7 linked regions of the Rattus norvegicus genome follow. The protein of the gene in region 1 binds, or shares a complex with, the protein of each later gene. Links are inferred from orthologs where the notes say so. Each region holds a gene or a part of one and is shown in the gene's direction. Other genes may lie near its edges. The genes, in order: Ing3, Ruvbl2, Morf4l2, Meaf6, Epc1, Anp32e and Vps72.

Region 1 (4,660 bases):
TCCAGTAGAAGACAGAATTAGAGGATCCCAAGAGGACTAGTCCCTATGTAAGAATGAGTAAGCAATAAACTCTTTTCATCTAAGAGGCCAATAAGAAAACATGCTTGTCTTGGACTTAGAGGCCAATAAGGAAGGAAAAGTCCCCCTTGAGAGTATATAATGAAGTATTTTCATTACAGGTTCCAATTCAATCTCTCTGTGCAATATAATAAACCTCAACTACATAACTTAATTTGGCCCTAAGTTTGATGGTGTCTTGCAGCAAAGTTGCAGAATCAAATGCTAATATTCTCTAGCAAAACTCAATTTTAACTCCAGCCGTGAAAAATCTTCACATTTATATCCCCCAGAAAAGTGGATTCAGAGGTAAAAACCTCAACCCAGATGAAATTAGGCCCTGTGAGCAAATGTGGTTGATTTTGAAGAAAGAGTACAAATAGACAAATAGTTTTTAGTATGGAATTTAAACTAAACAGATGTAGACTACATATATTTAACATTCAAGTAATAAGAAAATGGCTTTAAAAGAGAACAAATGAATAAAAAAGTGTCATTCTAAATAAAATTGTACTATAAAAATATACAGAGTAGTGAATAAAATGCATCATACTGATTTTTTTCTTTTGTATGAGATAGGGTCTTCCGTAATCTACGTTGGCTTCTAAATGCCTATGTTGCCAAGGCTCACACTCCTGATCCTCCTGTCTCAATTCTCCTAGTTAGGGCATTACAGGTGTACGCCTCTGTAGTCTAAGAAAGGATCATTTCCCCCCAAACACAGAAGTATTTATTTAGTGCACGATTTTTTATGAAAGGTATTTTAAGACAGAAACGGGGCCGCGATACACTAATTATACCAACATTTGCTAGGGTTATTAAAAGAGCCTGCCCAGAATTATAAACCTTAGCCCAGCTATTTACACAACATAAATTCACGTCATTGTTAGTATATGCCAGCAATGCATTAAATCACCAAAATTTATGGATGGTCGTTATTTATGTATTTATTGCAGATGCATTAGAACAGTTGTTTTACAATGAACACAAGATACACTGCAAACATAACTGGCTACTGCATACAATTTTGAGTATCTTTTAATTTGGGGAATGCACATTCCCTCCGGTCTCACTACAAATTATCTTAACGTTGCAGGGACACCAATCACTTGTCCCATTTATTTATCAGGAGTGACTTATGAAGATTAAATTCCAGCAGCGAGTTCTGTTCTAAACAATCTGAATTTTCCGAACTTAGCCGATTATTCTAGCGTTTGGAATCTTTGCTATGTGCCTAGCACAGCCAGAAATCCATGACTCACAAACGGCGGGCTTGGAACCACAGCACAGAACAGGTGAAAAGTTGTTCCTAGTTGTGTCAGGCAGGCGCATACAACTCCCGTCATCCCCTATGCAAGAAATCAACAAATAAACAGAGTCACCGCATTTCGGATTCTGGCGTGCCCGTTTCGCGCAGGCGTGTGGTTTCTGTAGTTGCCACTCTAAGAGACAACCACACTGGTGGCTACGCTCGGGGAAAAAGATGACTACATTTCCCAGAACTCCGCGGAGATCCGCACCGGCCGGTTGACGTCATCGCTCCAGACAGCCAATGGCAACGGCGGGCGGCAGTGAGGCAAGCGCCGTCAGGCGCCAAAGTGGAGCCTTTTTTTTTTTTTTTTGCTTTTTTTTTTTTTTTTTTTCCTTTGCCGGAGTCGAGCGGGTGCTGCTAGCGGAGGCGCCATATTGGAAGGGACAAAACTCCGGCGACAGCGAGTGACACAAATAAACCCCTGGACCCGTTCGTCTCCGCAGCACTCAGGGCCGCGATGTTGTACCTAGAAGACTATTTGGAAAGTGAGTGCGCGGCGCCGGCAACGCGGCGGGCGGGATCGGCGGCGGGCGGGAGCGCGAGTGGCCGGGCGGGCGGGATGGCGGGAGGGAGGGGGAGCGGGGGATGTTTCTTTCTCACGGTAACTGGCAGCCTCGTTGTGAGCCGCCCCCCCCTCACGCACGCACGCACGCACACACGCGTGACGCCAGCGCGTACCTTCGCCGTTGGCCCCGCCCTCTGACGGACTGTGCCTTTGACAGTGATTGAGCAGCTTCCGATGGACCTGCGGGACCGCTTCACGGAGATGCGCGAGATGGATCTGCAGGTGCAGAGTAAGTGGCGCGTCTCCACGGCCCCGCGCAGCCCCGGCCTCCCTCGGGCATCGCCTGGCGGGTCCTCCGCGCTACTTTTTTCAGGCTGTTACAAGGAGGCGGCAGGCACACCATACCGTTAACACGCGGGGCACAGCAAACACTGTGTTTGTGTACTGCATGGAGATGACGACACTGCACCGCAGTGGAAACTCGCGTGATTTTCAGAAGGTTTGCACCTGAGCCTGTATGTGGAACTTGGAGTTCTGCATTCAGACTTAAAAGTTCATTACATTCCTAATTTCTCAAGAGCAAAGACAGAATGGCAGGTTCTGTGCAGCTGGTTAGGGACCCTAGTGAACTTGGAAGGCCGAACTTTGACAAGTTGCGTATTAATAGAAGACACTTAGAGCTCTCAACAGCGTGGTCATTTTCTTAGCCAAAAAAATGAATGAGAGAAATCAGATTTTGCCGAAACCATCCTATTGCTTTTTAGAAAAATGTAGACATTTGGTAGGATGTCCTACTCATTTCTTTCTTGTTTTCTAAACACAGTCAAGTAGTTCAGGCTGGTCTCATACTTACTATGTATCCTAGGCTGGCTCTAATCTCCTGGTCTTCCTACTTTTGCCCACCTAGTGCTGGGATTACAGGCATGGCTAGCTGTCAGTGCTTGGCAGTTTTATGTGTGACTTGTTTCCAGAATGAACCTTGTTCTTTTGAAAAGCTAGACTGAAGAGGCTCAAAGGTAACTTGAGTTTGCTAAGGGCTTGTTCTTATCATTCTTGGCCCTCTGTCACCCCTCCCATCATTTCTATACCTTTTGTCCCCGACTATACTCATCTCAGTCTCTGGGTCATCTCTTGGGGTTCATTGCCCTGTAGCCTGTCATAAACCTGTGACCAGTATAGGCATGCTTCTTTTTTTGACTTTAAGGTAGTTGCAGTAATAAACATCTGCTGAGGCACATTCCAGAGGGATTGAGTAGAGCTTGGGGGCAGACACACTTGGGTTCACTCTCGGAGGACTCCAGTTCCTTATCTTTAATGGCTGCATTGCTACCTTGGGGGCTTGCTTACTCCCCCCCCCCCCTTTGTAAACAGACAGTCTTCTGAGCATTTAAAATAATACAGATAATTAGGATGTATAATACCCATTACAAATAGGTTTAGAATAAACGATAATTTAAAATATTTTCAATCATTCAGTTCTTTAAAATTCTGGGATAGTTTGGATTTGGTCTATACATGTGACAGTGTTTTCAAGTTTACTTCTACTATAACCCTGGAGTTTTCCAAAACAGTGAGTACACATTAACAAAAGTGTCAGCATGGGTACCGTCAGCAAATGCAGCTGGAAGTAAACTGTGTTTGACAATCAAGATTAACTAGAATGTCTCACCATCTTCTTTAAAAAGCCATCCTGCACTGAAGTTGCTTAAATGATGAATATAAATAGTGGTCAAGTTTTTCTCCATTTCCACCACAACAAAATCCCTTTGATTTATTTTTTAGCAGTCTTCCACTGAGGTCATTATTTTCGACCCAGGCCTTGGCGAACCTTTACATAGAATGAATAGCATGTGTGTGAGTGAGTTAATGGTGTCTCAAGTGAGCAAACAGTCACATACATCATACCTTCCTACGAGAGGATGTGATGAGGTGCTTGGCGCTCTCTAGCAAACATTGACTCTAGTGTCACAATTCTTATTAAAAGAAGTCTGAGAACTTTGCAGCAGCATTGTCAGTAAGCAACTCTGATTGCCATAACCAGCTGACGTAATGCCATTAGCTTTGATTTCAGTGCTGTGCTGTTCCAGGGTCGTGGCCTAGATCCTTGTCCATGTGGTTAACGCTGCCTTGGTTATTGGAAATTGTTTTGAAATAGCAAAGTCAGTAGAGAATATTTCAGCTTTTTAAAGCTAAGGTAATGAAGGCATTACTGCTCATAGCACAAAATGCATATAAGCCACTAGCAAACTAAGACAGTACATTGTTGTTGTCAGACATCTTTTCTTTCCTCAAATCAAAGCAGCTGGGTCGGCTAAGTATGAAATGTTTTATTATGTCAGATGCAATGGATCAACTAGAACAAAGAGTCAGTGAATTCTTTATGAATGCAAAGAAGAATAAACCCGAGTGGCGAGAAGAACAGATGGCATCCATCAAAAAAGTAAGTGCAATGCCTTCGATGATTGTCAGTCACATGGGGACCCTTTGGAAGGGATATTAAAATTAGGGAGATACCTGGATATGGGGTGAGAGGCTTGGGGGTGCTTGTTACATTTTAGAACAGCAGCTCTCAACTAAGGGGACGAATGACCCTTTCACAGGGTTGCCGGAAAGCACAGGAAAATACATTACGATTCATACCAGTAGCAAAGTTATAGTGACTCAGTAGCAGTGAAAGTAATTTCCTGGCTGGGGCTCACCACAGCATGAGGGCCTGTGTCAAACTGTTGAAGGGTCACAGCATTCGGAAGGTAGAAAAGCACTGGTTTAGCGCTTCCTGTCATTCT
Region 2 (4,094 bases), on another chromosome or scaffold:
AAGACCACGGAGATGGAGACCATCTACGATCTGGGTACCAAGATGATCGAGTCCCTGACCAAGGACAAGGTCCAGGCCGGGTGAGCCACGGGACCACAAAGAGGCTGGGCAGTGAGGGGAGTGGAACCCTCTTACTCTTTGCTGTTGCTCCTTCAGGGACGTGATCACCATCGACAAGGCCACTGGCAAGATTTCCAAGCTGGGCCGCTCTTTCACACGTGCCCGAGACTATGATGCCATGGGCTCCCAGGTGCTTGGCTCATCCCCAACCCAGCACTGGAGTGTTTCTCCATCTTCTGTTATGTCATGGGGTTGGATGCTGGGTTACCTCCCAGTGTGGGGCTCCAGGCTGTGTCCTGGCTGCCCTCACACCTGCCGTTGACCCTGTAGACCAAGTTTGTGCAGTGCCCAGACGGAGAGCTGCAAAAACGCAAGGAGGTGGTGCACACCGTGTCCCTCCATGAGATTGACGTCATCAACTCCCGCACTCAGGGCTTCTTGGCTCTCTTCTCAGGTCAGCTGCCCTTCCCCCAACACCTTGAATGCTCTGGTACATCCTTTGTCTCCCTCAGCGTGGCTCACCCCCACCCCCAGCTTTTCTGCCTCTTTCTTGGCGCTGTTAGCTTTCTTTACAGACTTGCTGCTTGTCTCTGTTCCCCGTCTGAGTGTGTCCTTCCCTACACTGCCCTCGAGTCCTCCCTCGGGTCACTCCCTCTGTCCTTTCTGGCCCTGCTGCTGCAGCCCAGAGCCCTCCTCCCCAGTGCTCCTCTGTCTCTCTCTTCACCCACCCCGGTCCTGGGCTCAATCTCTAATTCTAACTGACACCCCCATCTCTGGCAGGAGACACAGGGGAGATCAAGTCAGAAGTCCGAGAACAGATCAATGCCAAGGTGGCAGAGTGGAGGGAGGAGGGCAAAGCGGAGATCATCCCTGGGGTGAGTGGCCGCAGCCCAGGAGGGTATGGTTAGCCCTGAGGTACCAGGTGGAGAGAGCTTGATCTGTGCCCTAATGGCTTCCAGGTGCTGTTCATCGATGAGGTCCACATGCTGGACATTGAGAGTTTCTCTTTCCTAAACCGGGCCCTGGAGAGTGACATGGCGCCTGTTCTTATCATGGCCACCAACCGAGGCATCACCCGGTGAGCAGCTTTAGAGGCCTCTGCAGCAAGGGCACTCTGGGCCAGGGGTTGATGGTGGCCTCAAGGTGAATGACCATCTGCTGAGTTCCTCTCCTTACTCAGCTTGCCTCCAGTGTGGTCCTCACAATCCTGGACAGATAGAAAATCTCTTCAAGTTGGATTTAAACTTGTTGGAGCAGGCACCCAAAGGGCCCTGGGAAGTTTACCCTATGCTGAGCACGGGGCTATCTATTAGATATGTCACAAACTGCTGTGATCAGTCCGTCACTCAGACCCCGCCACTTAATCGTCACAGACCACATGTATTGACCTAAAGACACTGTGGACACTGGGCATGTCAGCTCCAACCACAGTCCTGGTAATATGGAGGCTGAGAAAGGACTCAGTTCTAGGTCAACCTGGGCTTCATGAGACCCTTTGTAGATAAGAGAGTATACAAACTGGTTTGGATAGCCAGACTTTTCCTGACGATGGCTCATGACTTCATCAAGCACATCACCTTGTCTCGTGTTTTTAGCATGGCGTCTTTGTTGTTGTTGTTGTTGTTGTTGTTGTTGTTGTTGTTGTTTGAATGTGGGGGAGGCAGTATATGCAGGTATGAATGTAGGTGTGGGCAGAATCCAAAATAGTATGGCAGGTCCCCTGCAGCTAGACTTAGAAGCAGTTGTGAGCTGCCTGGTGCAGGTCCTGGGACTCTCCCTGGGCTCCTCTGTAAGAACAGTATGTATTCTAACCATCCCTCCAGCCCCTCTTTCTTCTCTGACTTACTTTTATGTGTGTGTCTGTGTGTGTGTACACATGCATGTGGTACCCACAGATGACACAAGTTTTCAGGCCCCCTGCAACTGCAGTTAGGTGTAGCTGTGGTGAAGGCGGATGGCACACAGCCCTAAGAGGCTGGGACCTGGCTACCTTGCCTGCACTTCATTCTCCCCACTACTCCCACTTCACAGAGTAGATCAGCAAAGCTGAGCAGCTTGCCCAAGGCCATAGATGTGAAGGTAGCAGGGGGGAGGGGAGGCAGCCCTAAGGTCCCCTTTGCTAGTTGATGTTCACTGCAATTCCCCAGTCCCTGAAAGTCCATGAGTGGTAGGTTAGATCTGGCAGCTGTCCTGAGCCAGCCCCTGGAGAACAGTACTCTCATATCGATGGCTAAGCTCCCATGCCTGGAACAAACTGCCATGGGTCCCATTGCTCACCAGGAACTGGGTTTGCCAGGGCAGCAGGGCACAGGACAGCCGCTAGTGTGCACAGCTGCCGAGAAGTGTGTTACTGGGGATGAGAGCCAGTGCTCACAGTTACTGAGTTCCCAAGTGGGCTATGGTGGCACGTATGTTTTTGAAAAGCATCCATTAACAGTTTTCCCTGACCCCCAGGATCCGAGGCACCAGCTACCAAAGTCCCCACGGCATCCCCATTGACCTGCTAGACCGGCTGCTCATTGTGTCAACATCGCCCTACAGTGAGAAGGACACCAAACAGATCCTACGTATCCGGTGTGGCATCTGCCCCACACTGAGTCGGGAAAGATGGGGTGGGAGGCCCTCCTGTGCCCGTGGCTCTTTTAGCCTCACCATCCGTGGTTCCGAGACCCCAGTATCCATGCATATTATGGGATGGGTGGGTGATATGCCTGCCGTTTTGGCCTGCCTTCCCACAGCTGTGAGGAGGAAGATGTGGAGATGAGTGAGGACGCCTACACAGTGCTGACCCGCATTGGGCTCGAGACCTCCCTGCGCTACGCCATCCAGCTCATCACAGCGGCCAGCCTGGTGTGCCGGAAACGAAAGGTCAGCCAGCGAGTTAGCCTGGAGGACTGAGGGGTGGCCCTGGGGTAGCCCTTGAGCCATGGTACATGGATATTTAGTGGGGACTAAGAACCACAGCCGGTGCCCGGGCATTTTAGAGAAAAAAACCTAGTGGTGGGGGTGGCCCCGTGCTGACATCAGCTGAGCCCCACCTGCTCTCAGGGCACGGAGGTGCAGGTGGACGACATCAAGCGCGTATACTCCCTCTTCCTGGATGAATCCCGCTCCACACAGTACATGAAGGAATACCAGGACGCCTTCCTCTTCAATGAGCTCAGTGAGTATCCCAGGCTGCTGCCACTGTGGGAGGGGCTGCATGGGAGCACCCAGGAGCTCCCTCACATTTGGCTTCCCCTCTCTGCAGAAGGTGAAACAATGGACACCTCCTGAGCTGACACTGCACCCCAACCCTTCCCAGCCTGTTTTCTACAAGTTCTAACACTGTGACTTTGTATAAAATTATTGAAAACTGGAGTTCTGCTGTATCCTCAGATCACACAAAAGGACATCGGAGTGCAGTTGTAAAGCCTTTATTGGGAGGGATGGTTAGAACACCTGCTGGCTCCAGAAGAATGGGGAGTTAGTGGGTGGGCATCAGAAGAGGAGAAGGCCGGGGAGGTGGGGAAGGTCACAGGTCATTGGTTGAGTCCTGGGACCCCCACAGTCAGAGCTACTGAGACGGCAGGGCCCACAGCGGCAGCTGAGGGCCACAGGAAAGGAGACTATGGGGTCTACACCAGGTGGGCAGCCAGGGAGGCGGACAGAGGCGAAGCGCAGCTCACGGTAGGTGCACACTGGCTGAGGCACGGGAGGCAAGGCAGCTGGCAGTACTCGAACCTGAGTGCAGGGTGGAGAAAGTCCTCATCTGAGTGTCCCTCCCCTGTGCTGCGCCCCCTCCCCACCCCCTGCAGCCATTCTAGGCAGAATGCCCACCTGGTCCTGCCCCCACAGTAGCTGTGATCCCTGCCCAGGTGCCATCTCCCTGTACCCCACTGCCCCCACCTGTAGGACTGCTAGCAGCACTGTAGGGCGGAAGTGATGTCCATACCCATTTGGTCAGCTCACCATGCTAGGACAGTAGCCGGCACAGATGCTGGTGGTGAAGGTGATGCAGACTGGGCAGAACTCATTCTCTGCAGCCAGGGTTG
Region 3 (3,860 bases), on another chromosome or scaffold:
GCCTGCCAGCTTTGTAACACTGAAGTGTTTAAGTGTACCCAGTCCATAAGACACTAAGAGCGCACACTTCAAGTCTTACAACAACAGAAAAAAAACCATGGTGTTTGTTATGGATCAGTGTGAAACAGGAAGCACCCTAATAGAAAAGGAAATAAAAATACCCATGGAAGAACAAAAGATCTAACCAGTGATTGTATAAAAAGTGGTTTGAAATCATACATATTCAAATAAAGATGCCCCACTACAAGTTAGATTAGCAAGTGAGTTGGGGTTTTTTGGTTTTTGTTTTTTGGTTTTTGTTTGTTTTTTTTGTGGTGAAAGGGGTGTTTGAAGATTGAGGTATAGTTGAATTAGTAAAATGCTTGCTTATCTTTAGTGTGGTTGAAGATGGAAGAATGAACTTAACATGGTTTTGGCTAGGAATACATATTAAAACAGTTCTGAGATAAATTGGGCTACATCACAAAAGCTTCTATGTAGGCAACTACCTTTAATTCCTCTTGGAATATATCCTTCAGAGATAACTTACCTAGTGGTCTTAATATAGTTATGCATTGATGTCTAGTATTGGTTCTTTTTGTAATAATGACATTTGGAACACTGTCTACAACAGTGGAGCTGGGAGCATTAAAAACCTTTAACATCAGACACTAAAGAGCCCTCCAAGGGAAAGCATTGGTCAAAAATAATTTGAAGAGATCCTAGAAAATGATAAATTTACCAAGAGCCAACTCAAAAGGACAAAGGCATATACAAATGGGGGGGTAGATTTCTGTTAACACAGGTGCAAATTGGACAACAATAAGTGTCTTTTAAAGCTATTGAAGGTTGGCAATGTAACTCAGTGGTAGAGCAGAAAAGAATGAAGGTTAGCTTGCTGATGCTTACCAAAGGGTGTGCTGTGGTGTGATTGCTCATTTTAAGTTAGAGTTTTTGAAGGGTAAGCAATTTAGCACCAGGGTAAAAGCCTTAAATGTGTTTATACCTTGCTCCGCTAAATAAATCAGCCAGGAGTGAAACAAATGTCATGGCCTAAAAGGTGTATTTCATAACCTTAACATAACTATGGGAACATAGTTTTCTTTCAATGATTTTTTTTTAAAGTGAGAGCTAAGATTTAATAATACGTGCTTACCTCACAAACCTAAAAAATGATACTTTTCTGGATTATTCTTGAGCTAACTTTAGAGATTGATTAGAAAAATTTTCTACTAGTCTCTGTGCTTCTGCAGAAGATCCAAGGTTATAACACAAGCCCTGTGGTAGGACTTTTATTGTATTTAAGTGAGGGAGAGGAAGTCTGGAGTAGAGTAGGTATGCTAACTGAACTGAACAATGTTTAGTAGTGGGGGATTGGAAGGAAGGACCCACAAAGTGGATTCAAAATTTTAGGACCACACTATGTGCTAATAAGTTCCTTGGTAAGGAAGTACTGATGACCAAGGCAAATGCTCTACTACTGGCTTACATCCCCAGACCTCAGCAGCCTCCAAAACACCTGCTTATTTTAGTAGGTGTTGATCTCTTAAGAAAAATGGGTTATGGTCCTCCAGAGCACTGTAAACAGAAACCCACTCCCCATTCACACATGGATTTTGTTTTTTGAGGTGGTCCTTGGTAAATTAAAGCTGGAATGCCATCCTTTACTCGGGGAAGGGGGTACCCTGAATATGTAACAGACTCATGTTTTACACATTTGCACACTCATTTAAGACAAATGGAATCACACTGTTAATAAGAGCTGTGCTACTAACCCATTTACCTAAGGACATTAAACAGTTTTCAGTGTCAGTATGTAGATAGGCCTCTGCTTAAGTCACTTGGGTATTCTGTAGTGTGCATGTGTAATTTGTATCACCCTTTCCCTGCTGAAGCTGTAAATGTCTGCAGTTCCTCATTGCTCGTGCTACTTTAGTGAACCGCCCTCATTCACATGTAGAAATGGTCATGTGCGGTACTATGCTAGCTGTTCAGTAACATGACATTCTTATAGTAGCCTATAGCAACTAGGAATAGTTTCTTGTGCTTGAATATACATGTCTTCAGTTCCATTTTGCAGATCACACACTATTTTCCTTCCTATATGTAAGGCACATTTGTAACTTTTTCTTACATGATTTTGTAAAAGTTCATCTTCATTGCATATCCCTACTTTCCTTTCTAGGTTGTATTCCCACTTCATCTTTCCAGACCATCCTAGGAGATCTGTAAGATTCCATCTGGGAGATTACTAGGAATCCTTGGAAGGGAGAGAAGGAACATTGTGTAAGTCAAGGGGTTGTCGAATGAGTCAGCCATCGAAGCAGGAGGCTTGTTTTTTAATTCATTTTCACTGAATATTGTTTCTCTTGAAACTCAACCTCTTTATCTTCCAAAGTCACATATCTTCTTACTCTCCGATGGAGGGCTCACCATTTAATCTGTGGTCTCTTGCTAACTCCTCAAATACTTTTTTGTTCTTTACATTTTCTGGAATTCTATGTCTGAAATTCTGCCTGTTTTTTCTTCAGTGAAGAGGTTCACTGGTTCATAGTGTGTGCTATAAGCTACACGATAAGAAATCTCCATTTCTTTACTCTGAGTTTGAACATTCTCTCTTTGAGTGCACACTGAAGATAATAAAAAGTCCAAAACTAATCACCTTTCTCCTCTAAGCAGTTTATATAAATACCATCTCATTTGATGGTGATGGTCATCCATCCTTAAAGCCTGAAAGTTGTCAGTAACTCCTTTCTCAGTTTCTCATCTCTTCTAAAGTTACTAAAAGAGATCTTTTATGCATGTAACTATCAGTGGACTAATCTTGTTTTCTGACAGTGTCAGACAAATCCTTAAAAAAAAATCTGTGCTTTACTAAAACTACCCAGGCTCAGTCGTGCAGAGCCCATTTTGACTCTAACCTTTGATCATTGCATTCCTCTGTGTGAATTCTGTGCCATCGAACTACTCAAGGCCTACCTAGACCTGTATACACAAACCTTTTCTGTTAATTCACCTCCAACTTCCTTATTCCTTTCAAATTCTTATTCTTGTTCCAAAGTCTTGCATTTCAACTCTGCTTCCTTCTATCTCTAAAATTTCTCTAAAATTAAATCCCTATCTTTTAAATAGCATCAAGAGATATATTTGTGGGCGTGTTTATTGAATTATTAGGTGAGGCAAGAGTTGTGGGCATTAGGATAGAATTTTGAGATAGAAAACAGAAAAGCATTTATAAATGGTCCTCTGAAATAGGACCTGAAATCTATATTCCAACAGACTTTAGCATATGTTGTGGTCTGATGGGTCATAAAATCACCATAGTAAACAACCAAATACAATACTTTATGTATTACAGTGGTTGGAATAAAAACAGGGTTGAATGAGTTCCAGAAAGCAGGCTTCTCAAACTCGTGGACAACAATCTGCTGAAGAAGACAACTTTAAGAAACCCACTCGCAGCAATATGCAGAGAAGTAAGATGAGAGGAGCTGCCTCAGGAAAGAAGTCAGCTGGTTCGCAGCCGAAGAATCTTGATCCAGCCCTCCCAGGAAGATGGGGAGGTCGCTCTGCTGAGAACCCCCCTTCTGGTTCTGTGCGGAAGACAAGGAAGAACAAGCAGAAGACTCCTGGCAACGGAGACGGTGGCAGTACCAGTGAAGTCCCCCAGCCTCCTCGGAAGAAAAGGGCACGGGCTGACCCCACTGTGGAGAGCGAGGAAGCATTCAAGAGTAGGATGGAGGTGAAGGTGAAGATCCCTGAAGAATTAAAACCATGGCTGGTGGAAGATTGGGACTTGGTTACTAGGCAGAAGCAGCTGTTCCAGCTCCCTGCTAAGAAGAATGTAGATGCCATTCTTGAGGAGTATGCCAATTGCAAGA
Region 4 (3,860 bases), on another chromosome or scaffold:
GACAGGGTCCTGTTCTGTGGCCAAGGCTGGCCTTGAATTCACGGTCTTCCTTCCTCAGCCTCCTGAGTGCTGTCATTCCAGGTGTATGCCAACACCCAGCTTTTTGAGTACATTTTATGTGACATCAGGTGCTTTTCTAGTCTCGTGCAGCTCCATGAATCTGGAGCGCCATCTTTTGGTGCTCTCCTGCATCGTGTTCAAATTAGTCCCATCGCCTGGTTTGCTTCTGGGGGCAGGGGTGGGGAAATGGGTGTATCGTGAGTGCGGTCACACATGTTCCATGGCATGCATGTGAACAGCTTTTGGGAGTTGATTCTCTCCCGACCAAGAAATTTACTTCCGACCATGTGGTCTCAGGTCTGCACAGGGACGCTTCCACCTGCTCGCCCTTCTTGCTGGTCTCGTCTGCTTTTACGTTTTGTGTGTTTGCTATTTGTTTGACTGTGGTTTTGAGATGTAGTTCAGGCTGGTCTTGAATTCCTGATCTTCCCTCCTTGGCTTTCCCAGCCCTGGAATTACAGGTGGATGCTACTGTGCTAACACTTCTCTGTTTTTCTTTTTTTTTTTTTTTTTTCTTTTTTTCGGAGCTGGGGACCGAACCCAGGGCCTTGTGCTTGCTAGGCAAGTGCTCTACCACTGAGCTAAATCCCCAATCCCTCTGTTTTTCTTTTTTAAAAAATTATTTACTTATTTATATAAGTACCCTGTAGCTGTCTTCAGACACACCAGAAGAGGGCATCAGATCCCATTACAGATGGTTGTGAGCCACCATGTGGTTGCTGGGATTTGAACTCAGGACCTCTGGAAGAGCAGTCAGTGCTCTTAACCACTGAGTCGTCTCTCTAGCTCTCTGTTTTATCTTTTAGTTTGTCTGTCTGTCTGTCTGTCTGTCTGTCTCTCTCTCTCTCTCTCTTTCTCTGTGTTTGTGTGTGTGCGTGTGCACGTGTACTTTGTGGTGCTTGTGTGAATCCTGAAGGACAACCTCAGATGTTAGTCTTTTCTCTCCTTCATGAGATGAGACAGTCTCTTCTTATTCTCCACTGCATTGTATAAGCCAGCATGCTGGCCCGGGGCTCCCAGGGATTTTCCCGTCTTAGGACCCTATACCCTACAGGAGATGAGTTATAGGCGTGTGCGTCTGTGTCCAGCTTTATGTAGATTCTGGAAATCCAAATTTAGGTCCTTGCACTACATACAAATGTTTCACCCACTGAGCCATCCGCTCAGCCCTCTTCCTGCTTTTTATTTTCAGACAGGGTGTCCCTTTGTAGTTTTGACAGACCCAGAACTTGATATGTAGACCAGGCTGGCCTTAACCTTGACGGTGATTCTCCTGTTTCAACCTCCTTCTGCTTTTTGTTTGTTTTGTTTTTGCCTCTGCTGCTTCTGGTGGCTACATATTTAAAAAATGCTAATGTAAAGGCAGAAGGGAAAACACTGACCCCTGACCTTCCTGCAGACACAGACCCTTCTGACCATCTTTAGGGACAAATACTAATGTATTTGGGTCCATTAGTAGTTGAGTAGAATTCGGGTCTCTCCCTGTCCTTATCTAGTGATGGTTTCCAGAAGCTGGACATGGTGATACACAGCTGTGACCCGAGCACTGGGGGGAGCAAAGGCAGAGGGCGGGGGCCCACGCCATGGAACTCTTTTTTTCTGTAGCTCAGGCTAGTCATGGACTTGGGGCTTCCTGCGTCTGATGCCCTGCCTTCTCCTGCTTCTTCTTTCCTCCTTCCTACCTGTTGGGTGCAAGGATTGACCCTGGGCTTAGTTCATGCTGTGTGAGTGCTTTACTCTGTAGCCACCCTACCCTAAGACAGTATTTATGAGATGTTCTTGAACATGCATGCTTCTGTGTAAATATATCCAAGTGATTTTGATGATGATGATGAAGAAGAGGAAGAGGAAGAGGAAGAAGAAGAAGAAGAAGAAGAAGAAGAAGAAGAAGAAGAAGAAGAAGAAGAAGAAGAAGTAGTAGTAGTAGTAGTAGTTTTTTATGTAGCCCAGGCTGTCCTTGAGCTTGAGATGTCCTCTCACCTTCCCAAGTGCCAGGATTATAGGCATGTGCCACCCAGCCTGACTGTTGAAATGCTGTTTTGAAACTGGTGATTTATGTCAGTTGAACATTAATTACTACTTCATTCAGGCATTCCTGGGCTGATGGTCTAGCTTACTGTACCCAAGATTGCCAAAGGCAGGGGAAAACTCATGGTGGGACATCCCTGTAATCTCAGCACTCGGGAGCCGGGGTCGGGAAGACCAGAAGCTCATGCTTGAGTAGGTAAGCATGTGGCTAACCCTGAGTCTGCTCCCTGAGAGGTGAACGGGGAGAGCCGGTTCTCCTAAGCTGTTCCCTGACCTCCTTTTACTTGCTGTGGATGTTAATTACTGTGTATGGCAGTGAGGAAATACCATGACCAGAAGTGACTTACAGAGGAAAGTTTATCTTGGCTTCCTTTATGGTCCAAGAATGGGTTCCCTGTGTAGGAAGCTGGCTGGTTATATTTTGTCGCACTTGAAGGAGAGAGAGAGCAAGAAGTGGGGTGAGACCCCCACCCCTGCCCAGCCTTAGTGGCTTCCTTCTGCAGGTTATTCGCTCTCCAAGCAGCTCCACTACCTAGACAGCAGGTATTCAAAGCCCTGGGCCTGCGGGGACAGGTCCATTGAAACCACCCTGCTGCAGCACCCCCACCCCGACATATACACAAATAAGCAAAATGTAGTTTTAGAAAGATAAAGGAGGGGGAGCCGGAGAGATGCGGTTGTTAAGGACGCTTGCTGCTTCTACAGAGGACCCTGGCCGGTTCCCATCGCCTGTGTCTGACAGCTCTGGGAGATCGATTTCCTCTCACTTCTACAGGCCCTGTGAACTCACCTCACGGCCTGGATTCACATGAGACCGTATCTGTCTCCCCTCCAAAAAAAAATGTCCACGACCTCAGTAATTGAGGGATGGGCTAGACTCTGCTTCCCAGTGGGTACCTTTTCTTTTCTTTTTTGAATTTACTCTTTAGATCATATGTATGTGTCGGGGTGGGGTGTGTGTGTGCATGTGAGTGCAGGTACCCAAGGAGGCCAGAGGTGTTGGATCTCCTGGAGCTGCATTCCAGCAGGTGAGCCTTATGACATGGCTTCTGGGAATTAGACTCTGGTCCTCTGCACGAGCAGTACCTGCTCTTAATCTCAGGGTCATTTCTCTAGCTCATCCCCCACCAACTCTTTATAGAAAGACGGGATTCTCTGATGGTTTGTCAGTTTTGCCAAGGTGTCCCTGCCTCTCTTCAGCGTGCCCCATATTGAAGTGTCCCTTATGTAGAGGGCGATGCTCTGAGCTGCGGTCACCTCTGTCCTCAGAGCTGATGCAGACCACGTGGACTTCAGGGACTCCCTAGCTTTGGTGCGTTGAGCGCGTGTTCCTCAAGGGAAAACCTTTGTGGATGACAGGGACTCAGGAACACTGATCAGGCTTTTGGGGCCTGTTCTCTTTCCTCTAGGGGAACCAGGAAGTGGGACGGAAAGCGATACTTCCCCAGACTTCCACAATCAGGAAAACGAGCCTGCGCAGGAGGACCCTGAAGACCTGGACGGCTCCGTTCAGGGAGTGAAGCCTCAGAAAGCTGCCTCTTCCACCTCCTCAGGGAGCCACCACAGCAGCCACAAAAAGCGGAAGAATAAAAACCGGCACAGGTTAGTGGCAGGGTCCCACCCAGAGTCCTCACCTGCTGGGCGGGACTTGGTTGGCGTGGAGATGCCTGGGACAGTGGCAGAACCCTCAGGTTGTGGGTGGCAGAAATTCTTATATGCAAGTCAGGTGGGGTGGAGTCCTCTGAGGGAGGAGTGGGTGGCGTAGACAGGCC
Region 5 (4,539 bases), on another chromosome or scaffold:
CCTGTCCAGATTTTTGTTTTTAATCATAGCTACTCGGTAAATATTTGTGAATCCAGGTCTACCCCAGTTATCTACTTCAGATCAGGTGCAAAATATAGATGCTGGATGGAGACTCTGGCTCAGTCTACTGAAGTTAACCCCAAGCCTGTGGGTCACTACCTGTCTCATAGAATTCTGGTTTTGTCAGCCCTCTGGTTTACTGGAGGCAAGCCCTGTTTATTTTAATCGTCCTGTAATTAACAGCACACCCCACCCCCCCGCGTCTTGTTGTAGACAGTGAGTATGATAATAACCCTAGGTATAGTTTTAAAGGTGCCTATTAAATATTCAGTATATCAGACCTCCGTGTGGGGTGAGTTGAGTGGGTGTGGGAGGGAAGTGTCTTGAAGAATGTGGACTATTCTCTATCTTTTTTTTTTTTTTCATCCTTTGGTATTTTCTTTCATCGTTGGCCCATTAGAAATTTTCTGGCAAGGAATTAATTGCACAGTGGATACATTTAGTTCACACATTTAAGTTATGGAAACACTTTGATATTAGCCGACTTTGGGGACTTTACATTTGCAATTACAAGTGTTGGATTCCTTTAACATTTTTACGTTTAATTTTCAGACTGTATTAGAAAAGCCTGTTTGAAACAGCCCTACTCAGCGCCCAACTAGAAAGAATCGTGTTTCCCAGCCCACTTAATCTGAAAGCCTGCCAAGTTAGGTGAAAGACCTTATAAATATGTAAAACAGGAGGTTCAAATTACAATCAAGTAAATCCCTAATGATTGATGTTCTTTTCAAAACAAAAGAAGAAGAAGAAGAAGAAAAAGAACAAAAAAGAGGGCATTCCCGCTAGCACCAGCAGCAAAGGTTGGTAAGGAGTTCACACTCAAGGGTGTACTTTAGGGCTTAATTTATTTTGAATTTCTACCACTTCCTGGAGGCCGGGTGGAAGGATCCAAAATACTGGGCACCTCAGCCATTTTGTTTGTAGGGCGGAGCGGTAGAACTGGGCCGGCCAGGAAGGGGTTTGAGAGCAGCGTTGAAATGGGAGGGGGTGGGGGAGCTGAATATGGTTTCAACTTATGTCAGGATTCACTCGAGGCTAATGCAGGGACACTCGAGCCGCGTGGTGCTCGCGGCCTCAGGAGGCCCTCGGGAACGTCACACCGAGAACCCACGGATAGGCATCTTTCCCAGCGGCCGCGGCCGCATCCACGTCCCACACGGACGTCTCGAGTGGAGCCCCAACGAGCCGCGCGCAAGGGCGTGCCCAGATGCTCGGAGGACACGGCTGCTGCCATTGTTGTGCTAGTCACTTACTCCCGATCCCCGAGCAAAGTCTGGGGAGCAGCGCTCTCCCGAGCCGGTTTAAAATGGCACAGTCGCGCATTCTTTCCGAGCAGCGGGAGGCGGGAGCGAGGGCGGAGCCCGGAAGCCGCCAGCCAATGGGCGCGCGCGCCCGCCCTCTCGCCCGCCAGCGCAGAGTTGTTAACCCCGCGCCTGCCGCCGCCGCCCGCTCCGCAGCCTCCAGCTTGCTCCATTCCCCCCGACGCCCTCGGATCCTGCGGCTGCCCGCCCCGCTCCGCGCCCTCCATGGACGAAAGTCTCACTTTTGATTTACCAAATATTTTCAGGATGTTTGAAGACCCGTACGCTGCCCGGAGGCTGTTTTTTCTGGACAGCCCAGACCTCAGCCTATATTGTTACAATTTTTTTTTGAGAGCTAGCTGCTGCTTTGCCTACACCGATGGTAAGTTTATAATTTTAAACATTCTTGGCATTACATCCTCGAAAGGAGCACCAGATAAGAGAGGTTTTCATTGTGTTTCTTCTCACAAAACCAATCTTTGTATTTTTCTTTAGCTTCGATCTCTGCACGTTCCACCTAATTTTGTCTGGATAATTTTTTTTTTCCCAAAAGGGGAAAAAATAGTTTTCCTCTCCATTGTTAAAGATAAACATGTATAATGAAAATTATACTTTAATTGCTGTGAACTAAAGGGGAACTCAGATGTTTCAAGATGGACTTTTTTTTGTGTGCCAGGAATGTTGGTAGTGCCAAATATGTACGTATCCTCTTTATAAAAATTATCTATTGCCTAATTTGTCCAGAGTAAATTACCAACAAGCAAACTACCGTTGTAGTTTTGTTTTGGTTTTTTAAAATAGATCTATTGTGATTCCCTTGATGGAATACTTCAGAAAGGAGCTCTGGTATAATGAAGGCGGAGATTGACTAACCGGGTTTAAGTTATGGCTGTTGCTAAATAGTGGCTCTTTTATTGCTGAGCAGACCTAACTTGTGGTCTAGGATGTGATTTCCTTAAAGCTCTTTGTCGATTCGTCTCTGCAGATCTATCTTATTTTTTCTCCGGAAAGCTACATTTGGGAGACATTTTGTAATTTTTGGCATTTTTCTAGTTTTCTTCTTTTTGCACACGGTGGGAGATTTTTTTTTTTTTTTTTTTTTTTTTTTGTTCTGCACTGATCTGTGTTGGTGGCGCTGTAGTGCTCCTCAACAATTTGTCAGTTTTACTAAAAGAAAAAAGGAAGAAAAAAGGTGGGGCAAGATTTTATCTATTATCCTTTAATTTTCGTAGAGAAAGTTCAATTTGGTCAGCAGTGTTATTTAAGTGTTTGCTGTGGACTGTGCACCATGGTGAGAACAGACAATGTCGTCACAGCCAATCCAGGGGACATTATGGACAAGCATTCAGTTGGCAGTTATGTTCCATCTCATCTCATTTATTATCTCTATCGGATTCTTTAATAATAAGCTGTCCTTTGCCCTCTCCTCCATGGATGCTTTTCTTGTCTTACAAAACCATGCCCATTAGCGCCGTTTCAGTATAACAAAACGTTTGTGTATTAGTTCTTTGGACATTGTAAAAGTTGAATTTCATTTTTGAATCAAGGGATTTCTCAAATATGTATTCTGAATCTGTCTTGAGAGTGATCTGGTAGGGTGTCATGTCTGTTTTATTTTGAGCTGCCCCCCTTGGATTGAATTTATAGACAGCCTTGTTTTAAAATGAGCAAATGTTTTTTGTTGTTGGAACAAGATAATTTTTTAAGAATATTGCACACATATTTTTTTACTTAAAAATACTGACATATACATTTCTAAGGAGGTGTTATATCTTTGTTCTTGAGAGTTATCTGATTAGAGACTAAGGGATTTAGGCCCAAAGCCTGCCAAAAACAAAAATATGTCACAATATGACATCGGCTTTACTGGTCTCTGTAAACATTTTAGTTGTTTGTGAAGATGTCTTCAGTTCAAAAAGAAAGTAGGAGGGATCTGTAATTTACCTTGAAATGCATTGTTTACCAAGTAAAGTGAAAACTGAAACAGCATTTGGATTATCTGACTAACAGGTTATGTCTTGAGAGAGTGACTGTCGTGTCAGGAGTCAAGAGTCTTTATTTACTTTGACATCTGTAAATGCCCTTTCCACTGATCCTTTAACAGTCTGGAGTAGAGAATGTGTGAACAGGAGTAGAAATAGTATTTCCTAGAATCTGTTTATCTCCTTCCTTCAACTTCAGAAGAAACAAGCCCAACGCCTTAGATTTTGTTTGTAGCATGCTCAAAAGGTTTGGAAGTATTCACTAGCGTAGTTCATTCTCTCTTTCTTTGTGAAGTCTAAATGCAGCTTCAAGTGTGGCTTCTGACAGTATAGATTATGTATGGAATGAAATACTGCAGGTGTAAATATTGTCTAACCTGGTGATGCTGGAGGCTTTAGCTCTCTGAAGTTGATCATCTGAATAAAATATTCCTTCCGGCACGTTTATTGCTAAAATATTCTGTCCTCCATAATGTAGTGATTTTCATTTTATTTAATTTCTGAAACTAGCTATGGTTGTTTAATGTCACCCCTTTTAAGAGCAAACCCAGCTGGGAAGTCCATCCGTGGCTATGCAGTCCTCTTTGTTCTCCTCCTGACTATTACATCATTGATTATGAAGTAACCATTAGAGTTCAATCGTTACTTCTGAAAATCACTCAGACATTTCTATCACACATACTCTTCTAGATGTGACCTTGCCATCACTGTGGAAGTAAAGAGGTTTAAATCTATGAGGCGAAGATAATTCCCTAGTTTATATTAGTCTCCATTTTCACATGTACCCGCTGCTTCCTCATAGCTCTTGATTCTTTGGGAATTATTTCTTTTTAATTGACAGCATTTTATGATTTAGTGCATGAGTTTGGTGTGGTTACACTCAGAATTATAAAGCCAATTTTTTTATCATTAAAAATCCTTTAAAAATGTAATATATAGAAAACTAATTCTTTTTTTTCATGGCAGCAATTGCTAGATCATGGACAATCAAAAATTAGTCTTTCACAATTTTGCTGTGTCATTTCAAATTGACACTTTTTTGCATATCATTGTGTCAGAGGGAGTAGTGGCAAGTAGCAAAATTGACTTCATTAAAATGCCGTGTGTGTGTGTGTGTGTGTGTGTGTGTGTGTGTGTGTGTGTGTGCGCGCGCACGTACCACCCATCCCTCTTGTGGAGGGAGAGGTTAATGAATG
Region 6 (4,659 bases), on another chromosome or scaffold:
CCCCCCGCCCCCTAAGAAAATAAAAATAATATTTTAAAGAGAGAAAGGGTTTGTTTTAGTTCACAGATCTAAGTAGAGCCCATCACAGAAGGAATTGCAAGGAGCTGGTCACATCTCAATCAGGAAGCAGAGAAAAAGGAATCTAAAAGAAATAATTTTGTTGTTATTTTGAGACAGAGGCTGGCCTTGGATTTACTGAGTAGACTGGTCTGGAGAAATCTGCCTGCCTCTCTCCCTTCTGAAGGCTATGATTAAAGGAATGTACCATTATCCGGGTCTTACAGGAGCATTAAACAGAAAAAAAAAAAGGTGTTTTTTTATTTTATTTTAAATTCACTGATTTTGTTTTTATGTATTTGGGTGTTTTGCCTGCAAGTGTGTACATGCAGCACATCTTTGCCTGTAGCCTGTGGAGTCCAGAAGATGCTACTGAATTCCCTAGAATTAGAGTTACGGATGATTATGGACCACCACATGGATGCTAGAAATCGAACCAGGGTCCTGTGGAAGAGGCCATTGCCTCTGCAGACCCACACTTAAAAGAACATTTTAAGTAGGTTCCTGTAGGAAAGGAAAGGCCTTGCTGTGCGGCTTCTGAGAATTGTGTTGTTTTTCCTCTAAGGTGCCAACTTTTTTGTTTGTTTTGTCTTTTGGAGACAGGGGTTTTGTTTGTTTTTCCTGTGTAGTCCTGGAACTGGCTCTGTAGACCAGGCTGGCCTTGAGTTCAGAGATCTACCTGCCTCTGCCTCTGGGCGTGCTGGGGTTAAAGGCATGCACACCACGCCTGGCTCTAATATTCCAACTTTTTAGCAGTGACAAATGACCTCAGTATCAACTCCTCCTGGACAGTTTTATTTAAAGGCTTCTGACTCAACGTGCTAAACTCAACTGCTTTCAGAGTCGTTCCGCCTTTTACGGTGGAAGTTAAAATACCTTCTTTATCACGCTCTGGTTCTACAAGCAGTTCTGGACGGGGAGGTGTCACGAACACGCTGCTCGTGCTTGCGCCCATGCTTACACCTCAGCCGCAGGGCAGAAGGCTTGTGCTTTAAGACCACCGAAAGCTCTGAGTGCAGTGTGTTGCATGACCCATTTACAACCTGGGAACGCCAACGACGCCTTTTCCCTTCCTTTTAACCCTGAAGCCAGAAAAACCCCAAACAAACAAAAACAAACCCAACAGACACCCAAACCGTCCTACTACCGAAGGAAAGCGCGCCAACCACACAAAGAAAAGGAGGGGGGCGACTGGGATTCAAAATCATTTCTCTGGGACGTACATCTTCCCGGACCTATCGGAATTAACTGCGCGCTTGGTCAGAGCCAATAGACACTGAGTTTCTGGTCCAGGTCCCCCCTAAAGACAAATGGACAATCCTCTAGCCCAATGGAGTAGTGTGACGCTAAGGACTCGGCCAATCCCGTTGGGAGGTGGGTGGAGTATAGGCTGGGGGGGTTGGCGGTGCCGTGTCATGGAGGCTCAGTCTCGCAGCAGCCATTGAAGGGGAAGGAACTGCGGGCGCGCGCGTGTCTCTCTCTGTGTGTGAAAGTGTGTGCGTGCCCGAGTGTGCGCGCGCGGGTGTGTGGACTAGGAGGTGGGGGCAGCCGAGTTAGTCCCAAGTCGTCAGACTCCATTTGCTATTCTTTTCTTTCTCTCCCACACCCCGGTGGTAGTGGGCGTTCGTCTTTGCGTCTCTTTTCATTCATCTCCAGACCTTTAGAGGTTTTTTAGGGTTGGGGGTAGTGGGGAGGGCAGGCGAGGGGAAAGGAGGAGGACATGGAGATGAAGAAGAAGATTAACATGGAGTTGAAGAACAGAGCCCCGGAGGAGGTGAGATGACTCAGCCCCCATCTTCCCCTCCCTCCCTGGATCGTGAGGGGTGGGCTTCGGGGCTCCGGGTGGGTGCGCAGGGCGGGCTGGGAAGCGCGCCCCCACTTGGGGTGGGGGTGGGGTGTTTATTTTAAGTTTTAAATCACCAGGCTCTTGTGCTTAAAATGGCGAAGGGCTTAAGTTTCTAGGGGCATTTTCGTGAGCGCGCGGGGGCTCAGCCCCATGGCGTCCTCGCAGACTGGCGGCCCGGCCTCGCGAGGGCGGGCGGCGTGGGCGCGACCCCCGGGCCCTCGCCACCTGCGAAGTTGGTGTAACTTTCCCGCGGCGCCGCCAGTCTGCGGGCCGCGGCCCCGGGCGTGGGGCTCGGGGCCGATCTGCGCCCCGCGCTCCCTCCGACCGTGCCCATTCGCGGGCAGCGCGCGCCGTGGCCGGGGCCGCAGCGGAATCCCGGGACCCGACGGCGCGGGCCGCGATCCGCGTGGCGCGCGGACTTCTACGCAAGCGGCAGGTTCCTGTGAGCCGCGCTGCGCTCTGTGCGGCGGTAGGGAAGAGTCCGGAGGTTCGGAGGGGCCCCGGGAGGCGTCGCCTCCGAGCCCCCCGTCTTCGGATTCCCTTGCGGTTCACGCCAGGTCCGCGGGTCTGGTGATTGGCGGCGGCGGGCGGGTTTCGGGCTCGCTCGTTCGCGGCCGTGGCGTGAAGTCGAGGGATGGGGTCCGCGCTGTAGTGGTCCCTTGACGCCCGCGCAAAGGCGGCCGTCTGCCCGGCCTTCACGGTTATCGTGCAGAGCCACCGGTCCTTAAGCCCTGTTCATTTTCGTGGTTGGTGTGCGGGTTCCTGTGACTTGAGGCGAGAGCGGTGGTGGAAACATTGTTGCTGTGAGGGTTATCTCTGCGAGGACTAGAAGTTTTCTAGAGCCTCATAGAAGATTCTAGAAAAACTCAAAAGTTGAAAGCTGTCAGCAGGACGTGATGACTGATATCTGTAATTCTGTATATCTGTAAATCCTTACTTCTCATATCAAGAAATTCCCAGCCCTTGGGAGGGAGGCCGAGGTAGGACGATGGTTTCTAGTGGGACTCATGTCAAACAAGGCAAAAAAAAAAAAAAAAATCAAAAGCAGTTTCTCAGAAACCTTGTGGTGCAAAAGTGGGTCGTCCCCTCTGCCCCATTCTTTCACCTTCAGTTTGGAGGGTTGCTCGATGATGACTTTTTTGCAGTCTCCTTCATTTGGTGTGGTGTGGTAACAGCCAAGTTTATATAGATAGTTTATAAGGCACCCCGTTTATTTAATTTCTCCTTGGGGAAACGTGTAAGCTGGATTGTATTCTAGAATCCAGATTAGAATAGGAGTCTAAAGGCAGTGAAGTTGAAGAGCTGGGATTCTGACACTACATCTACAACCCTTGCCAAGTTCTTGGTCCCTGGCTAAGACTAAAATCCAAAGGCTTAAGAGTTGCTTGGTGTGGTAGCTTAGGCTTTTAATCCTTGCACTCCGAGGCAGAGGCAGGCCAATCTTTTTGAGTTTAAGGCCAGCCTGGACTAAATAGTGAGACTACAGCTGTCTCAAAAACAAACGAACAAGCCGGTGGTAGTGTCCCACAAGCCTCTAATCCCAACACTCAGGAGGCAGAGGCAGGCAGATCTTTGTGAGTTAGAGGCCATTCTAGTCTACACAGAGACCCTGTCTTGAAAACCACCAAGACAGATTTAAGAACCAAAATGCCCCTACCTGGCCCTGTTGGTGTGACCTGTCACCTTTTGTGCCTCAGCTTCCCTGTGGATATCCCAGGGATGTCGTTGTACAAGTTCCGCTCATTCAAATAATGATGCCAGAGTTACATTCAAGTAGAGAAGGTGAGGGTTGTTGTTGATGAGTTTTACCTTTAAATAGACACTTTCACTCTGGGGATAGAGAACAGGCTTTGCCTTGTGATTACATCGATGAGGTGCACCAGGTGAGTTTTGTTACTATATCTCAGATCTGTGGCTCAGTAGTTAAGAGCCAGCACTGGAACAGTGGCACACAGCTGCCAGGGGGTCAGATTCCTCTTCTGTCCTCTGAAGGCACCGGGCACATTATGAGGAAAAAAATGGATACACATAAAAAAAAATAGATAAACTTACAGCCCAGAGATACGGGGTTAAGAGCACTGGCTGTCCTTCCCAGTCGTTCCAGCACCCACTTGGCAGGTCACTACTATCTGTAACTCCAGTCCCAGGGACTGAACACCCACCCCACCCATCCTCTGGCTTTCATGGGTACTGCATGCACAGGGTACACGGACATACATGCAGATAACCAGTTCCTTCCCCCTCCCTCCAAGAGTGGGACTGGTGGGCTGTCTTAGGAGCTTTCTGATGTTACTCTCTGAAGGGTAACAAGGTTGGAATGGTACTGGCATTTATCAGCCAAAAATACAGAGGATTAAACTGAAAAAGTGATAAGCTACCCCTTGTAGCTTTGCGTCTCCTTCCCAGGTAAGTGTAGGTCAGGATAGTGCCTCCTGCCCACAGTCGAACATACTTTAGTAGGACCTTTTTCACAGTTGGGTTTTCTGCCTCAGTGATTTGAAGCAGGCCCTGGACTTGTTAGTCAAAGTTCAGCTAGATAGGACTGCTTACAGGGACAACTGAAGCACATCTTTTTTTTTTTTTTTTTAACATACTTTTAATTTTGTTTTTATGTATGTTTATATGTATATATGTTAAATATTTTAATTTTTTGTTATTCATGTTTGCCTCCATGTATGTCTGTGTGAGGGCATCAGAAGCCCTGTGGGACTGGGGTTATAAGGGGTGAGCTGCCATGTGGGTGCTGGGAGTTAAAC
Region 7 (4,523 bases), on another chromosome or scaffold:
GTCCAGATCTTCCAGTTCAGTCTCTTTCCCAAATGCTGGGATTATAAACCTCAAACATCACACTTTTGACATTGCTGCTGCTACTTGTTTTTGTTATCGTTTTAAAACAGGGTCACACTATAGCCCTGGTTGGCCTGAAACTTGCTATGTAGACCGGGCTCTAACTTGTAGAGATTCCTGGCCTCTGCATCCTGAGGGTTAGAATTAAAAAGGTGTGGAATGCTAGGCCAAGTACTTAGTTGCTTGTGGTTTTGTTTTGTTTTTGAGACAAGAGTTTTCTACATGGCTGAGGCTGGCCTGGAACTTCCATTGCTCAGTCCCTACGTGATCTACTATGCTCCTTGAACTTTCCAGCCCAGGAACTGGGCTGCCCTTCCTCCAGAAGCTCCTCCCTACATAATGTAAACATTTCAGTCTGTCTCTCACTCTTTTCTCTTTGCCTGCACTCATACTTTCTATCTCCCTGTCCCCCTTCTCTTCCAATGGTAACTCCCCTGGCCTCAACCCTTGTGGTCAGTGAATTTGCCTAAGAGTGGCTTCCCAATAAACCTGCCTTTTATATAATCTAATTTGGCTTGAATTGGATCATTTCACCAGCAGAGAAATAACCTATCAGGGCACATAAAGCTTAACAAGCACACCCCCAGACTCGTTTTTACTTTTTAAAATTTGAAACAAAATTCTGCTGAATTACTTAGACAGGTCTTGAACATGTGGTTCTCCTACCCCATTGATGAGAATACAGGTCTGACTGCCATTGAAGTTTTAGAGGAAGGGAACTAAAAAGTCAGGATATTTTGTTTTGGTTTAAAGACTTATTTACTTATCCATTCATTCATTGTATGTGAGTGTACTGTTGCTCTCTTCAGACACACCAGAAGAGAGCATCAGATCTCACTGCAGATGGTTGTGAGCCACCAGTAGATGGGAATTGAACTCAGGACTCCAGAAGAGCGAGCAGTCAGCGCTCTTAACTGCTGAGCCATCTCTCCAGCCCCAAGGCCAGGGTTTTTAGAAAGGCTTCTAGGAGAATTAAAAAGCAAGAGGGAGTGGAGAGGGAAAGGAGCTTGCTATGAGGCGGCACACCTTTAATTCCAGCACTGGGAGGCAGAGGCAGGAAGATCTATACGAGTTCTAGTGCAGCTTGCTTTACATAGATAGTCCAGGGCAGCCAGGACTGTAAAGAGAGAACCTGTCTGTAGAAAAACAAACAATAAAAAATATGGGTAAGGAGGAGGAAACCTGGTAGTGTATCCCAGGAGCTACCTAAGGGGAAAAGACGAGGAAAAGAAAAGGCGTCGAGTGCTCGACGCTCGACTGCTTTTGCTTGCAGACGCCGGACTTCCGTCATTGGCGGTCGCCCGCAGGAAATAGTGTCGAGTGCTGATCGGCGAGAACCCGGAGCTGGGTAAGGGGCTGCTGGCGGCGGCGCAGTCTCTGTAAGCGGTATGAGTTTGGCTGGGGGCCGAGCCCCACGGAAAACCGCTGGAAACCGGCTTTCTGGGCTCCTGGAAGCAGAGGAGGAAGATGAGTTCTACCAGACGACTTACGGGGGCTTCACTGAGGCAAGAGCCGGGCCCAAGAAGAGGGAGGCGAGGAAGCGGAGTCTTGTAGGGAAAAACCCTAGACAAAGAGGAAGGGGGCGGGGATTGAGAAAGGCTCGGAAAGATGTGCTCCTAGCTGGCGGTGGACGCTGTGCGTGTGCGTGTGTGTGAGGACCCGGTCCAGAAACAGATTTAATTAGCATACTCTCTTTTTCAGCTTTCAAATCACAGCATACTGTTTTCTTAGATGACCCTTTATTGACTGTCCTAAGAGAATCCCCATTTAATTTCCATCATAGAAACAAAATTTCAGCTTGCAGTTAGATTCGGTTTACTTCTCATTTTCTGATTGGTTTTAAGGTCTGTAACAGAGTTCGATTTTTTAGTACAGGGCTGACACTTAGCTATATTTTTATTAATAGAAGCTGTTCATTGATTGAATATATATTGCATACCCAGATCAGCATACCATATATAATTAATAGCTTGTGGTGGACTCCTTGGGAACATTAAAAACTTCCTGAGGCTGGGACTATATTGTAGTTCAGCGGTCGATCACTTGCCCTAGATCCTGGATTACTGGCCCCTAGCAATAAATAAAAGCAAGCTCTATCCTGCAGGGCAGCTGCCTGGGATCACAGTCAATTTGAGGATACTGTACGATAAAGACTGTATGATAAAGACTTATATTCTAACAGGTGAGAGGGTTGTGCCTGGTCTTTTAAGTTGTATTATGTTTGTGTGCCAGCATAGGAAGCTCAAAGGGCAACTTGGAGTTCAGCCTCTATATCATGTGATCGCAAGGACACAAACCCAGCAACTTGCTTCTGCCACCATATGGCCAGCTAAGGTGCCTCCACCCCTGACCTGACACCTCCACCCACTCAGTGTTCTTCTGTGAAGACTTGGCTGTCCTAGAACTCAGAGACCTCCCTGCCTTTGCCTCTGGAGTGCCTCTACCCCTGGCCTTACATAGATTTTGTTTGTTTGCTTTCTTGCTTTTATTTTTAATTTATTTTTTATATTTTAGATTTACTTATTTTTATGTGTGTTGATGTTGGCTACATGTATGTCTGTGAGAGGGTGCTAGAGCCTTTAGGACTGGAGTTACAGACAGTGCTGAGCTACCATGTGGGTGTTGGGAATTTGAACCTAGGTCCTCTAGAAGAATAGCCAGTGTTCTTAACCACTGAATGGTCTCACCACTACCATATATAAATATATATTTTAAAGAGGGTTGCTACACGTGGTCTCAAAGTTTAGGTAGCCCTTCTGCCTCAGACTCCTGAGTCCTGTAACTGTAAGTATTTGTCACTACCCTTGGATTTCCCTTCCCACCTCCCAGTCAGATTTTGTAGGTCATAGTGAAGCTGTATTAAGCAGTTTGACTTCTCATTTAAAGGTCTGAAATCGGGGCTGGGGATTTAGCTCAGTGGTAGAGTGCTTACCTAGGAAGCGCAAGGCCCTGGGTTCGGTCCCCAGCTCCGAAAAAAAGAACCAAAAAAAAAAAAAAAAAAAAAAAAAGGTCTGAAATGAAGCATCAAAGCTCCATCATTAAATTTTTGGTTAGAAAGATTTCTTTAGTGCTGGTAATCTCGGAGAGGTGGTGCAGGAAGATGACCTCCGGTTCCAGGCCACATGGGTTGTGTTTCCAGTTCCATCCTGACTCAGCCTTACAGACCAACCAACCCTAATGAGTAAATGAGTAAAGCCTAAAGAGGACAAGGGCTGGGCTGGGCATGACACTTGCTCAGGGTCATCTTGTTTAGCTTAGCTGGAGGTTCCAGCTCCCAGCACCACAGAGTGGATGGAGGTGGATATGGGATAGTGTTAGGGTTGAAGGGAAGATTTTGGAAAGAGAGTAGACAGGACTTTATGACTAACCAGGAGTCACTATGTACACAGCTTTAATAAACTAGTTTAAAATAGATCTCTCTCATCCTTCAAGTTTCACTTCCTATTCCTGTCATTTTATGAGTCGTTATTTAATACGTGCACCTCATGCTTCCAGAAAGGATATGTAACAAGGCTTACAATGGAAACAAAGGTTAGAAACAGTAAAAATAGAAAATGAGCAGAACAAAATGTATTAATGTATGAATAAATAAGTAAAACTATATATATATATATATAATTAAAAGTAATTTTACCAAGAATCCATGTTAAAATGGAAATAGCATTTGATAGCTGTGAGTTTTCTAGCAGCCAAACTAAATTTGTTCTTTTGTAAGACCGAAGTATACAGTATACTCAAGAAAGACAAATTTATTTAGCACTAAATTCTAGGGAGAATTTCTTATTACTTATACGGGGTCCAACTGAAGTAATGGGGTTTGATAGAGAACGTTCTCCTGTGTATTAAAGGCCTGGAGAAGAGCCCAGCGTAATGACAGAAAGTCCACAGTGCGGTAAAACACGGACACTGAGCAGGAGCACAGTGGGAACTTGCTCTGCCGTCTGGTGATGCTTTATCCCAGAGCAGAGCCGAGAGAATTAATGTGTTCTGAGTCACTTTCACAGACATTTGTCAGAAGAATGGTGGTCATTTGTGCTGCCTAACTTAGAGTATCAGTCCTTTGTTATATGCTTGCTTAGGCAGCATTAATCCATTGGTCGTGTCCCTGATTGAGAGGAGAGAGCATATGCCAAGCCCAGTTGACGTCCCCTCACAATGACACCCCTTCCCAGGGTAGCTGCCATTGACACCTTAGCCTATATTACCTCAGGTTGCACTTTAGGCCTTTCTAACTCCCAGTTCCCATAGCTTTCTGCAGTATTCCATGGACATACACGTGAGTGGATCCCGTTATCTATAGTGGTATTCAAATATTCTTCTGTCTCAGTGCACATGAAGAAGGACAGATTCTCTCAGCAACTGTACCTCTACAGTGATGATCAACAAGTGAGATAAGTCAGATGAGGTAATTGAGCCTCATGGCCTACAGAATAAGCCCTAAATTTATTTATTGGCTTTGAAAT

What was found.
Region 2: Ing3 (region 1) and Ruvbl2 share a complex: the UniProt entries of both Homo sapiens proteins name them as parts of the SWR1-like complex. The link is inferred for Rattus norvegicus from reciprocal best matches to the Homo sapiens genes ING3 and RUVBL2.
Region 3: Ing3 (region 1) and Morf4l2 share a complex: the UniProt entries of both Homo sapiens proteins name them as parts of the nuA4 histone acetyltransferase complex. The link is inferred for Rattus norvegicus from reciprocal best matches to the Homo sapiens genes ING3 and MORF4L2.
Region 4: Ing3 (region 1) and Meaf6 share a complex: the UniProt entries of both Homo sapiens proteins name them as parts of the nuA4 histone acetyltransferase complex. The link is inferred for Rattus norvegicus from reciprocal best matches to the Homo sapiens genes ING3 and MEAF6.
Region 5: Ing3 (region 1) and Epc1 share a complex: the UniProt entries of both Homo sapiens proteins name them as parts of the nuA4 histone acetyltransferase complex. The link is inferred for Rattus norvegicus from reciprocal best matches to the Homo sapiens genes ING3 and EPC1.
Region 6: Ing3 (region 1) and Anp32e share a complex: the UniProt entries of both Homo sapiens proteins name them as parts of the SWR1-like complex. The link is inferred for Rattus norvegicus from reciprocal best matches to the Homo sapiens genes ING3 and ANP32E.
Region 7: Ing3 (region 1) and Vps72 share a complex: the UniProt entries of both Homo sapiens proteins name them as parts of the nuA4 histone acetyltransferase complex. The link is inferred for Rattus norvegicus from reciprocal best matches to the Homo sapiens genes ING3 and VPS72.

Annotation. Positions count from the first base shown.
Region 1 is NC_086022.1:51,442,053-51,446,712, forward strand, and holds the start of Ing3 (inhibitor of growth protein 3), read left to right. Parts: upstream 1-1,758; 5' UTR 1,759-1,826; coding exon 1,827-1,854; intron 1,855-2,091; coding exon 2,092-2,163; intron 2,164-2,190; exon of another isoform or gene 2,191-2,373; intron 2,374-4,213; coding exon 4,214-4,314; intron 4,315-4,660. UniProt on the Homo sapiens protein: Component of the NuA4 histone acetyltransferase (HAT) complex which is involved in transcriptional activation of select genes principally by acetylation of nucleosomal histones H4 and H2A.
Region 2 is NC_086019.1:105,037,813-105,041,906, reverse strand, and holds the end of Ruvbl2 (ruvB-like 2), read left to right. Parts: coding exon 1-80; intron 81-156; coding exon 157-250; intron 251-390; coding exon 391-514; intron 515-840; coding exon 841-935; intron 936-1,019; coding exon 1,020-1,138; intron 1,139-2,514; coding exon 2,515-2,634; intron 2,635-2,798; coding exon 2,799-2,928; intron 2,929-3,108; coding exon 3,109-3,223; coding exon of another isoform or gene 3,224-3,310; coding exon 3,311-3,336; 3' UTR 3,337-3,420; downstream 3,421-4,094. Other genes in the region: Lhb (lutropin subunit beta isoform 1 precursor), read right to left, coding at 3,541-3,783, 4,012-4,094. UniProt on the Homo sapiens protein: Possesses single-stranded DNA-stimulated ATPase and ATP-dependent DNA helicase (5' to 3') activity; hexamerization is thought to be critical for ATP hydrolysis and adjacent subunits in the ring-like structure contribute to the ATPase activity.
Region 3 is NC_086039.1:104,875,893-104,879,752, reverse strand, and holds part of Morf4l2 (mortality factor 4-like protein 2), read left to right. Parts: intron 1-2,164; 5' UTR 2,165-2,265; intron 2,266-3,337; 5' UTR 3,338-3,361; coding exon 3,362-3,860. UniProt on the Homo sapiens protein: Component of the NuA4 histone acetyltransferase complex which is involved in transcriptional activation of select genes principally by acetylation of nucleosomal histone H4 and H2A.
Region 4 is NC_086023.1:142,642,619-142,646,478, forward strand, and holds part of Meaf6 (chromatin modification-related protein MEAF6), read left to right. Parts: intron 1-3,497; coding exon 3,498-3,690; intron 3,691-3,860.
Region 5 is NC_086035.1:59,286,513-59,291,051, reverse strand, and holds the start of Epc1 (enhancer of polycomb homolog 1), read left to right. Parts: upstream 1-1,532; 5' UTR 1,533-1,740; coding exon 1,741-1,743; intron 1,744-4,539. UniProt on the Homo sapiens protein: Component of the NuA4 histone acetyltransferase (HAT) complex, a multiprotein complex involved in transcriptional activation of select genes principally by acetylation of nucleosomal histones H4 and H2A.
Region 6 is NC_086020.1:186,160,083-186,164,741, forward strand, and holds the start of Anp32e (acidic leucine-rich nuclear phosphoprotein 32 family member E), read left to right. Parts: upstream 1-1,509; 5' UTR 1,510-1,777; coding exon 1,778-1,831; intron 1,832-2,387; exon of another isoform or gene 2,388-2,460; intron 2,461-4,659. UniProt on the Homo sapiens protein: Histone chaperone that specifically mediates the genome-wide removal of histone H2A.Z/H2AZ1 from the nucleosome: removes H2A.Z/H2AZ1 from its normal sites of deposition, especially from enhancer and insulator regions.
Region 7 is NC_086020.1:185,366,251-185,370,773, forward strand, and holds the start of Vps72 (vacuolar protein sorting-associated protein 72 homolog), read left to right. Parts: upstream 1-1,387; 5' UTR 1,388-1,448; coding exon 1,449-1,565; intron 1,566-4,523. UniProt on the Homo sapiens protein: Deposition-and-exchange histone chaperone specific for H2AZ1, specifically chaperones H2AZ1 and deposits it into nucleosomes.